Linked DNA regions of Tribolium castaneum. The protein of the gene in region 3 interacts with the protein of the main gene of each other region in a pairwise test. Links are inferred from orthologs where the notes say so. Each region holds a gene or a part of one and is shown on either strand. Other genes may lie near its edges.

Region 1 (4,003 bases), on a different chromosome or scaffold from region 3:
AGGAAGGGGGGATTTTTGGGGCAAGACTGGGTGCTTAGGAATCATATCATCACAGACGGATTCGGGGGCGCCGGCAGAGTAGCCCCAAGCGGTTGCCACAAGGGCGGAAAAGACAATCAAAGCGGCTCGCATTGCTCTAGAAAAAACCTCTGATATAAATTAATTTATTATCCAGTTAAGTACAATCACACATAAACCAACAAATAAAAAAATAGAGCTTATTATAATAAAAAAAATCAATCCGCATCAGCCGTTGGCGACTCCTGTCTTAGTCTCTCCACATCGTTAAAAATCACCTGGGCCCCGCCCCCACACGTGGGCACAATATCGCCCTTGTAAACCCTAGTTTCAACCCCACCATCGTCCTGTTCCTGCGCTATCAGACAATATTTGCTCTGCTTCGGGTTCGTAACATCGCTAGCTTTACTCAACTTGGTAACCGACTTGCGTTTTTTCATGGACGGTTGAAGGACGGTACCAAGCGGCACTGGCTTAACCGAATTGTGCTCAAGCCACACCTACAACCCCTATTAAAAAAATCAAACAATAGAACGGTAAACAACCTCAGTGGGCCCCGCGGACCGGGACCGCCTCCTGGTGGCGGCCGGCGTCCCCACGTATCGCCTCCTCGTCTGCTGCTTGGGCGTCTCCTCCAGAGGCGCTTGCTCCTCTTCTATTTCCGGCGGCGTTATCTCCTTATCCAGGATTTCGCGCACTTTTTGCAGCTTGTTTTCCTTGGCTTTGGCAGCGGCTTGCAAGTGCTCACGCTGCCTTCGCAACTTCGCGTCCAGCTCCTGGGTCATTTTCTCCGTCTGGAGGGCCAGCTTTTGCTTGGTTTTCTCCTTCTCTAGTATGTTTTTATTAATTTTCAAATCCTTCTCGGCAATAATGTTGCGTAACGACGCTATCTCATCCTGATAGTCGCGTATTTTCGCCCGGAAATCACCGGCCCGGGCCTCGGCGTCGGCCAATTTCGCCTCCATGTTGTACGACCTTTGTTTCTCCTTCTTAAGCAGTGCTTTACTACTCTTAACTTCGGACTTCCCCAGAATGTTTTCCTGCTGTATCTCCAGCAAGCGCTTCCTGAACCGCGCCTCCTCCTGGTCCAAGGTCGCATCCAAACTTTTGATTTTCTCAAATCGGGTTTTCAAAATGTTGCTTAAGCGCTCCAAAGCGACGTGACTTTCGTCAAGACTCGAAAAATGTCGCTTGAATTCGGGGATTTTTGGCCCAAGTGTGAACAAACTCGCCTTGCTTTTCATTGGTGTTTTCTTCGTAATTTTGCTTTTGCACGGTGTGTATTTCGGTTCAGATCGTGCCACTTTCACATCTTGGGTCGATTCGGCGAACTTCATGACTTGTAAATTCTCCTCAAAGTCGGCAATTGAGGGGTTCACACAGACGATCATTTCGACACGACCTTCGCCCTCAAAGTAGTTTTTGAAGAGGAGAGTTAGGCGGCTGTCGCGATACGGCACCAGTCGGTTGCCTCCGGTCGTTTGGTTTTCCCTCAAAACGTCCAGACACGTCCTCAAAGACATGAGCGAGTTGTTGATTTGACTGGCTTCCCTCAACAACTGGCCGGTGTTTTGAGTTCGTGTTGTGCGCTCAGAACCCGCCAAGTCAACTAGACTCAGTTGGGAGATTTTGAGGAGGTTGCTGTCAGGGATCATGGGACGTCCCTCAGCATTGTGGGAGTATTGTTCCAGCTGGACGAGTCGAATATTTAAAATTGAGTGACTCCGACTTGAGACTGAATTTAAAATTGTGTTGCCCATTTTTTTGCGCTTTTGTCCGATGTTGAACAACTCGAACGCCTCCTCGGCCGACTTCACCTCAGTCTCGACAACCCCATTCACGTACATGTTTTTATTCGAATCCTCACGTAATATTTTGCCCTGCATCCGGCTCCCGGTGTTCTCATCCAACAAATCGTACACCGTATTGTTATAAATCTCAATGTAACTCACAAAGACCGAGTACAAGTTGCCCTCGTTAACGTCCATGATTTTAATACCGTCGTTAACGTAAGTCTTTTCCTTCCCGTTTCGCTTAACGGTGCTCCTGGGGGTGCTCTTGGAGGACGCTCTGAGCAAAGCCAACTGATCTTGCATGGCGTCGTCCTGCGATTGCACCTCAAACCCGTTCATTTTATCCGACTTAATGACACACTTGGGGGCTTGAAACGCCGAAATCGAATTAAAAATCGTGTAGATACACTTGGGCATAATCCCCGGGTTGTTGTGGTCCCCAGTCAGCGTGTGCGTCTTCCCGGACCCCGTGACCCCATAAGTGAAGAGTAGGGCGTTTTTACCCTTGAGTAAATCCTCCAAAAGGGGGTACGCCACATGTTCAAAAACCTCGTTTTGGGTGGCGAAGGCCGTAAAAATGTGCTTGAACTTGCAGTGGATTTCCTTACGAATGATTTTTGATTCGGCAGGGGTGGTGAGTGCGAGTGTCGTCGGTGATAACAGTCGGATGCAAGTCGATTCCTCGTTACCTTTAAGGGGGCGAAGCCGGCAAAAAACTTGCACGGGGTCTTTGTCTGTTTTTGTGATGGTTTTCTCGCGCCGGATTTTCGGCGTGAATTTGCTCACAGGGTTCATTTCGTTTGTTAATTGTTTGACTGAATTTAAAAACGTTCACTTCGTACAAGACGGTGACAGAAATAACCGTTTGCGCTTTCAAAATTTGAATTTGAACCATTTGACAGTAAAAACCGTACAGGTTTCTGTAAGAGCGACCTCTAAGCGCGCTAAGTTTTTTATTTGTTGGTTTATGCTTGATTATTTAATTCACAAAAATGCGAGTAACGAATAAATAATAATAATAGTGCTGTGAAAAAACTGTTTTTTTTTTCATTTAAAGTGTTAAAAAATTTTTTTTTCGGTTGTCAGTTTTGACATTTGCATTTGACATACAAACAAAAAGGTAACCTAGAAAGTGTTTAAAAGTCGAACAGGGAAAAGAGTGTTATTTGTGTAATAATTAAAGCCGGTTTTGGGAAAACACGTCATTTTATGTAAATATTTGGTGGTTTTCTTTACTGGCATTATGTAATGTTAGGTAGCGTTTCAAAATCTGGGCCCCCCGGGTTCTGTTCAAAGGTCAATGATTGCAGAAAAACGAAGACACTTAAGGACATGGGTTACAAAGAAAATTTATGCATAAGTGTGGTTTTGAAGAGGCGGAACGTAAGGTTATTTTATTTATTGTTTATTACAAAGTGTTGTAAAAGCCTTTTTCAAGGTTTATCTTATAGTGTTTTTTTTATTAAGTAATTCCGTAGTTTGTTTGACAAATTTTAGGGGTGGTTTTGCTTGAGGCGGACCGCGGACTAAACGATTTCATTTACTGAAAACTTTTTTTTCCATAAGTTATGTGACACGTTAAATTCGAATTTGTTTATTTATTGGGTAAACATGACTTATTGTTTTACTTAAGTGCACTTTCCAAATGCAGACGTCACCTTTATTTGTCCACTAGTGATTTTTTTCATGAACCATTAGCATATTCTTGTCACTTTCTTACGATATTGGAGGTCATTTTACAATCACTTTGAAAAAAATCGGTGGCATAATTTTTTTTTAACCGGAAATGGCCGGAAAAGACTGATTTGATTTAGGTTCTTTGCACAACGGTGACCTGCTAGGTTTAATTTAATTGATTAACAAATTAGTGAATTGGAATTGAGCGAAACTGGGCTTTAAAAGTCTGCTGTATAAAAAATTAAAGTTCCGACCCTTTCATAATAATAAAACGTTCAATTTTTTCTTAATGAGTGAATTGATTAAAATACCCTACGAAACAACGAAAAAAAATTTTTCACACAATAATTTTATAAAATAAAAATAAATGAAAAAGTCTTGACGTGGTTAAAATAAATCGTACTCACCTGTTCTACTTGATCTCTTCTCTAGACCGAAGTTGGAACTAACCAACCCACTCTTTATTTCTGTGCATTTTACTTTCAAATTATAGTTTAATTGAAAGTGGGGGATTT
Region 2 (4,271 bases), on a different chromosome or scaffold from region 3:
CAATGAAATTTGATAGTGAATTTAACTATTTTTTATTTTATTGAAAATTTCAATACATACTCCTAGTTTAGATTTTTTTATAAAAAAACTAGACGTTAAAATCGCATGAAACAATACAGTCCCATTAGTAAGCTACAATATCTCAAGAATAAGTCAAGGAAATTTTTATCTCCGACTCAATTTATTAACATGCATTTGCAAAAAATATTTGTTTTTTTATTCGCTTCAACAGTTCCCGTAACCTTAACCCACCTAAATAAATTTTAGTCCACTTCACTTGTGGCGCGATTTAAGCGTTTTTAATTTCATGAAGCAAAAAACTTACTCTTTTTTGTGGCGTTTGATTCTGGCAAACCGCTCGCAGAATATCTCGACCGAAACTGGTATTAGCATCGTCAGATTCAGCAAAACTGTTGTCGCTGCTAGATCAAGGGAAAAAACAAACAGTTGTAGTAAAATAGTTATATTACACATATAATACAGTCAAAAAAGAATACTAATTGTTTAAGAAAGACATAAAAGGAATAAAATCCAGTCGGTAATTTTATCGCACCTGTTTGTTGTTGGACTCGGACTCTCATTCTCAGTCTCAGTCACTGACTCAATATCCGTCAAACTTGGGTATAATCGGCCTGTTTTCTGCGACGCCACTTTGATTCGCTTCACTTCGCTTAGAACAGCCGCCACTTTCGGACTATCGCCTTTACCTGTAACTAACTCAATTGATTAAATTAATCAATTTGAAAAATAAAGAAATTTACGGCTTCTTTTGCCACTGCTCCTTTTTTCCTTCGGACTAACAACAGCAACTTTCTTCGCCGATTTTTCCTCAATCATGGCCGTTTCTTCCGTATCATCATCAAACTCCTCCTCGTCATTGTTCTTATGGAATCTATTCAACAACAAATCCATTTCTTTCTGCCTTTGCTCCCTCACATTACTCTCAATCTGTTCCTGCGAAATTGTGCTTTTTTGCTCAAACAAAGCCGCAACTTTATTCGCAATTCCTTCGCCCCTTGGTGTCGCCACTTCTTTTTTTGGTGATGGTGGCGCAGGGACTTTTTTTTCTTTCGGGACATCTTTTTTGATAGGTGTTGCCATAGCAAATGGGGCTTTGGGCACCAAAGCTGCGCCTTTGTTTTTCTCAAACAGGGCTTTCCTTTCCGAAACTGATAACAAAGCCGGATCTTTTGGCTGTTTGTTGGGACTTGATTCAAAGAAGGCCGCTTTATCAGCAATTTTACTTTTTTGGGGAGAAGAGGCGGGTTTTGTGGTTGCTTGTTCATTTTCTTTGTTTTGTTGTTGCGCCTTGTATTTGTACACCAATTTAGAGCTGGATTCTGTCCGCTGGAAGCCTTGCGATTCCTGGAAATGCTCGGGAAATTACATTGTAAAGTTCAATTTATTGGAAAATTACGAGAGAATCGAGCACTTTCTTATCCCAATTTATTTTCTTCTGTTCTTGTTTTTCTTGATCTTTGATGGGTGGTTCTGGGGCTTTGTATTTTGTCGCTGATTTTGGTGGCGTGTTTGGGGTTTTTGGTTCTGGGGGCTTGGGGGCTGGGGGTTTCCACGATTTTTTTGTTTTGGCAGGAGAATTGTCCCGCTCTTTACGCACCTAAAGGCACGTTTAAATAAAAAATTTACGTTTTCTTCGACTTTCCATTTGGTATTTAAAGACATACTATCGATATTTCATTAAATATTCTGTAATTTTTTATTTTTATAATAATAAAGCAACGAGAAACGTTGTTAATTGTGGTTATACTGTAATGTTAATTATTCAAAGCCTGTCGCATAATTGCATTAAATTACTTTAAAAAAATGTACGTAAATATCCCACAAGTCTTACAAGTTATATTGTTTCGATAATTGTTGGCACTGACGTAAGAAGCAATACATAATTAAACAGAAAACAAGACATGAAAAAGTTAATTGAATTTAACTTTTTTACAATGACTTACTGGAGTCAAGTCGTCCTCAAACTGATTGACCCTCTGTGCCAAGTCGGCCAGTTTGCTCAGCCCCCTCTTATTCCTTCCGTTTTCTGCCGGTGTTTTCGTTGGAGACCCATGTGCACAAAATCTAGCTTCTGTCTGATGAATTGGCGAAGAAATGTCCGCATCGTCGCCCCCTTTGTCCCCCAATCAAAACAAAAATAAACCCGAGTCAAAGCAAAGCCTTCTCTCTTACCTGCATACAATTTCCCCAACCGATTTAGCCTATTTTTAGCATCCTGTCTCAGACCCCCGTCACTCCTATCATCATCACTCTGCTCCTCAATTTGCACTTCAACATGAACATTATCAGCCGAACTTACTTTAATTTCCATGTTAAAACTATCGTTTTGTATATTTAGGCTTTTATGAGAGGTGAAATCGGATGAGATGTGAGTGCGTGTAACTGTTGGCAAATTACCTTCAGACTTGGAATTGGCTTCCAACTTGGGCGAATTCGAGCTTAAGTTAGGTTGAGACAACGTTACTTTACCGCTGCGAGGGGGAGTCTTCCTCAAGTCACTGTTGTAGTCTTCGAGGAGTCTCTGACGCTCCCTCGCCCGAGTTAGGAGATTCTGCGGAAAAAACAAGCGGAAAATCGGAAAATGGGGCGAAAGTGCGCACGTACCTCCGTAAACGAGTCCATTTAAGTGCAAGGTCGCCCCGTGATAAATCAAATTCACACTTTGTGCATAAAGTTTGGTTGTTGATAAATTACCGTTGAAGGTTCGATTTGAAATAGCACTTCGGGAAAGCGCCACCGGTGGCACTGTCGCCCATAATCCAAAATCTAGGGACTTCAATTTTGGGAAAAAACTCAAAATTACTCAAAAAACGACCAAATTGACCACATTACAACTTTGAAGATTATTTTACTTGCACAAAAACACAAACTTGACCCCAGTCTTGATTCCAGTCACTAGTCTCAATTAAAAAAACTTGTAAAGAAATTGGTTGGTCAAGCTGGGAAACTGACAGTTGCCAAAATTTTGACAGTAGTTCCGACTTTTTGAGTATATTTTGCATTTTTTTGCCAAAAATCCTAATTTAAATAGTGTACGTGTCACACTAGCTGATAAAATGAGCGAATTATGATTACCTGAAGTCGGGTTGAAGCAAAATCAAGTGTAATGGCAAAATTCAAGTTGGGTGAAACACGTATGCAATTTTATCAAAAAATCTGATAATGACCGGTCTCTGCCTGTGAATATCGGCCTTCCGTGACGAAATCATCATGTTGCCACTGTCGCACAAGGATAATTTGCACCGGGGCTTCGGGTCCCGAATTAAGGAGAAGTTGAACGGGTGGATGAGGTTAATTTTTTCCGACAGGAACTCCCGCAATTTGTTTCTGTTCCTGCTTCTGAACCTCTCGTTTGCGTTTGTAGAGTTAGTTTATGGTGTATGGTCTAATAGCTTAGGTGAGTTGTTGTGCTTGTTACTATTTTCGTGAAATGGTTGTTTTAGGTTTAATATCCGATTCCTTCCATATGTTTTTCGACTGTACTGGCTTATTAGCCGGCTTGGCCGCGTCCGTAATCACGAAATGGAAAGCCAACGAGAAATATTCGTACGGTTACGTCCGTGCTGAGGTTTTGGCCGGTTTTGTTAATGGGTTGTTTTTGCTTTTTATCTCGTTTTTTATCATGTCGGAAGCTGTAGAGCGTGCAATAGAGCCCCCTGAGGCAAGAATTATTGTTAAATTATTATTATTTTCATTAATTATTAACTATTTTAGGTGAAACACGAGAGGTTGTTTCTGGTCTCAGTGCTGGGCCTTTTAGTCAATTTGGTGGGAATTTACGCCTTCCAGCACGGCCATGGGCACTCCCACGGTGGTGGCGGCCACGGTCACTCCCATGGGCACAACCACAACTCCCATGGTCACTCCCACGACCACACTCTGGACATAGATATAGCAGCAAGTGGTAATTCGCAAATAATGAAAGGAGTGTTCCTCCACATCCTGGCCGACACTTTGGGAAGTGTTGGTGTAATAATTTCGGCAGTGTTAATGCAAATGTTCGGTTGGATGATTGCTGATCCAATTTGTTCGATGTTTATTGCGATTTTAATAGCGTTAAGTGTGCTAGCGTTGATTAAAGATTCCGTTGTTATTTTAATGCAGAGACAGCCGTATGCACTTGATAATGTTTTGCCGCAGTGTTACCAGAAAGTGGTCAGTTTGCCAGGCGTTTATTCGGTGCAAGAGCCCCATTTTTGGACCCTTTGTAGTGAGGTTTACGTGGGGGCGCTTAAATTGGAAGTATCAAA
Region 3 (3,237 bases):
TTATTATTTTTTAATGTTTTTATGTTTCGCACTAAGTAATAGTTACCTAACAAAACGATGAATAATTATTTTTAAATTTACTAACAGACTTTAGCAGTTTTTTCAATTTAAAAAAATTAGAATTCATCGAAAAAATCACAATGTGCAGATGTGCCAACACTGGGAATGATTTCCTAGGAAACCGTTTGAAAAATAATTTATTTTTATTGTTGATCAAATTCAATTGCGATCACGACTGTTAGACAACGTTGCCACATATCATTTATTTAAAATTCGTCATTTATCAATAACTTTAATATAAAGAATTTTTTTACTATTTTTACCTTTATGTGTAAGCAGTTCTCCATCACACTCCATTGAGTTGGTGCGCCGATTTTTGAGCACCCGGTATTTATAATTATTAGTATTATTATGCGACGTATTTCTTTTGTTGGTGCCATTATCAAAAGCCGCTCGTTGCTTGTAACAAGAATGAAAGGTGCTTCAAAGTAATAATCAAATTTAGTCCAAAATATGGTATATTTTAACGTAATTAGTTTTTACATAAATATTTTACACCACTTAGTTTGAAAATAACCAATCCAATCAACTTGGACAATATACAGTGGTATATTTAAAAGGCATATAAAAGATGCTAAAGTTTAGAAAATAATATTTCTTCAGTATAAAATGTAAAAAAACTTATTAATAAGTAATAATTTATCGGAAATTCTTGGGTGAAGGAAAATACTTCTGCTTCTTTTTCGCACAACTTCTGCAAAATAATAATAATTAGAAAACTTCGGGGCATTTGTTATAATGAGACAACAACCTGTTAGCGCTCACTGGTGTGAAAAGTCCTTTAGGAGCTATAGGACGCAATAATGAATCAGTGCTTGGAGTTTGCTGCAATTTTCCACGTTGATAAGTCGGCTCGATGTTGATAAAACCAGACCAGTAATCAGATGGGATATTAAGCAAATGTTCCATTACCTAATAAAATTACTTGTCTCAAACTTGAACCTGCAATAGAACAAAACATACCATATTATGTTGAACGATTTCATCCAGCAAATTATTCGGGTTTGGATTATCGGACGAGTATCCAACTAAAGTCGGTCCGAAAATTTTGGCAAGGTTACCGATATTCATTTTGCATTCTTTGGCCTCTGCCACCCTAAAAATAAAATTTTCTAAACTTGTTCCACTTGTAATTGTCTGTTTTACTTCTGAAGATGCAGAATCATATATGCGAGAGTGTCTCTGTTTGGTTGTGGAAGCTCTGATATGGCTTGATACAGAGCTGGTTGGATGTCAAGTGGGTCCTGAGCATTCACAGCTTGTACAAATTTTTTCCACAAGGCGTAAGTTATGACTGGTTCATGTAAACCCCTGAGAAAGTCTTTGACAGTTCCACAAATCACAGGAATGTCAACTTGATTAAGACATGGGGCCCCTTTGCCTTTCAGAAACCGTTCCTTCAAAGCCTTAACATCACGTTCTGAGCCTGGAACTCGGTATAAGCCAACTTCTGAGAGCCCTCTTAATTCAATTTCGTTTATGCAGTGGATAAGAATAGCTGGAACCATGGGGGGAGTTGTTGGGGTATAATCACCAATAACCCCCTTCATAAGTTAACATTAGTACAAGAGTTACTTTTAATTTCTAGTAACATACCAATCCGTTTCGTTGATTTGGTGTATGCACCACAGGAATACATGGCAAAGGAAGATTGTTCTTGCATTCCAAATGACACAGAGCTTTGCATTCTTTGCACTTAAAAGCGCTCCTACCAAAGCGGATTCGTTTATCGCAAGATGTGCAAGTTTCAGGCATTACAAGAGTTTTTTGTTGAAAACAATGTTCTTTGCCGGCTAGTTTCTGGTGAGTTTTGCGCGGACTTTCACGAGCCCAGGATTCAAAAACAAGGTTTGCTGGAGGGGCACTGGGGTATGAGTCGGCCTAAATTTTTTTATTAAGAAAAACGCAAACAAATATAAACATACAACCGTATGGGCCGATTCTGGGGCTCCCGGAGTTTTAGGGACGGACTCGATAATAGACGTAGCAGTAATAGGACCATCTTTGTTAAGAGTTAGAGTAGTGGTTGCTCTAACGGTGTCAGCAGCTCCAATCTAATCCCAAAAAACAAGCATATTAACAGTATAAAAATGAACACAAAAATATGTTTTTCGACTTTGGTTTCACAAATTGTTCAAACAAACTGAAAGTAGTTTCACAAAGAGAACTTGTGAACTCCTTTTAGTAAATTTTTAGAAGTTGTATTGGCATTGCTGGGCTGGGTGGCTGGGTCAAGTCGCTTATCATAAAGCCCGAATAATTAACAAAAATAAGAGGAAACAGTTTAAACAGATTTTGATAAGTTAAACTAAACAAAAACAAACAACAAAAATAGAAAGTAGAAAAAATAGTACTGCACTCGTTTTATAAGTTTTAATTGTGGCACTCATTCTATTGGAACACCCCTTCGTCGTGCTCCAAAACCATTCGTGCTACAAGAGAACGTCTTATAAAACACATATAATAATATACTATTATAGTAACCCTGATCTTGTAAGATTATACAACCACAATAAACTTCATTACCACTACTAAGGATCATCTATTGTGCAGGTATTAAGACCTACGCGCCCTTGCAAAAACTGACTTCTCCTAGACTGGTTGCTTTCACCGGCCAGGTCCGGCTCCAAATAATTTCCCTAATGTTTTCAAAATTCACTTAAGCACTTAAGAAAAGAAAATAATTACTGCTGTAAAACCAGATTGCAAGCATGAAAATTATCAGGTGCCAACATTTTATCATTGTTTAATATAAAACAAATTTAATTTGTGCGGTCTCAAATTATTTTGAGTTCCGTCCTGGACCCTTTGACAAGGGTGTTGCTAGAAAAGTTGCTAGAATAATTTACCACTGGGGTTTCTTTTCAATAGGGTATCGGTTACATTTCACATAATAGACTAATTTTATGATCACCATATAATCTCACAGAATCAGGGCGACTTTATATTATTGAAAATATTAATATTAATAAGCCTATGCTCCATTTCAAAATGAAGTTTTCAATTTAAACACGTGCTTAAAACACACAAAGACTCTACACCTACATAACAAAAAACTCTTTAAAAACGTCTATAAACGTCCGCTAAATACAAAATTAACATTCCAAATTTTGTTATTTTCCGGATTATTTTTGAGTTAGTAACGTTTCATCACAATTTAGCCTAATCTCAAAAGCG

What was found. The genes of interacting proteins can lie anywhere in the genome.
Region 1: the proteins of tum (region 3) and pav interact in a two-hybrid assay, tested with the Drosophila melanogaster proteins (3 studies listed by BioGRID). The link is inferred for Tribolium castaneum from reciprocal best matches to the Drosophila melanogaster genes tum and pav.
Region 2: the proteins of tum (region 3) and scra interact in a two-hybrid assay, tested with the Drosophila melanogaster proteins (2 studies listed by BioGRID). The link is inferred for Tribolium castaneum from reciprocal best matches to the Drosophila melanogaster genes tum and scra.

The regions. Positions count from the first base shown.
Region 1 is NC_087398.1:1,086,290-1,090,292, reverse strand, and holds pav (kinesin-like protein KIF23), read right to left. Parts: upstream 2,801-4,003; 5' UTR 2,607-2,800; coding exon 564-2,606; intron 519-563; coding exon 237-518; 3' UTR 151-236; downstream 1-150. Other genes in the region: l(2)34Fc (putative defense protein Hdd11), read right to left, coding at 1-132.
Region 2 is NC_087396.1:20,580,383-20,584,653, reverse strand, and holds the start of scra (anillin), read right to left. Parts: upstream 2,801-4,271; 5' UTR 2,644-2,800; coding exon 2,626-2,643; intron 2,573-2,625; coding exon 2,194-2,572; intron 2,135-2,193; coding exon 1,965-2,134; intron 1,619-1,964; coding exon 1,418-1,618; intron 1,366-1,417; coding exon 762-1,365; intron 714-761; coding exon 554-713; intron 423-553; coding exon 326-422; intron 1-325. Other genes in the region: ZnT86D (zinc transporter 7), read left to right, coding at 3,232-3,418, 3,465-3,682, 3,736-4,271. UniProt on the Drosophila melanogaster protein: Required for cytokinesis. Essential for the structural integrity of the cleavage furrow and for completion of cleavage furrow ingression and proper formation of the midbody.
Region 3 is NC_087394.1:20,766,483-20,769,719, forward strand, and holds the end of tum (rac GTPase-activating protein 1), read right to left. Parts: intron 2,115-3,237; coding exon 1,989-2,114; intron 1,942-1,988; coding exon 1,657-1,941; intron 1,605-1,656; coding exon 1,207-1,604; intron 1,157-1,206; coding exon 1,024-1,156; intron 973-1,023; coding exon 812-972; intron 755-811; coding exon 700-754; 3' UTR 501-699; downstream 1-500.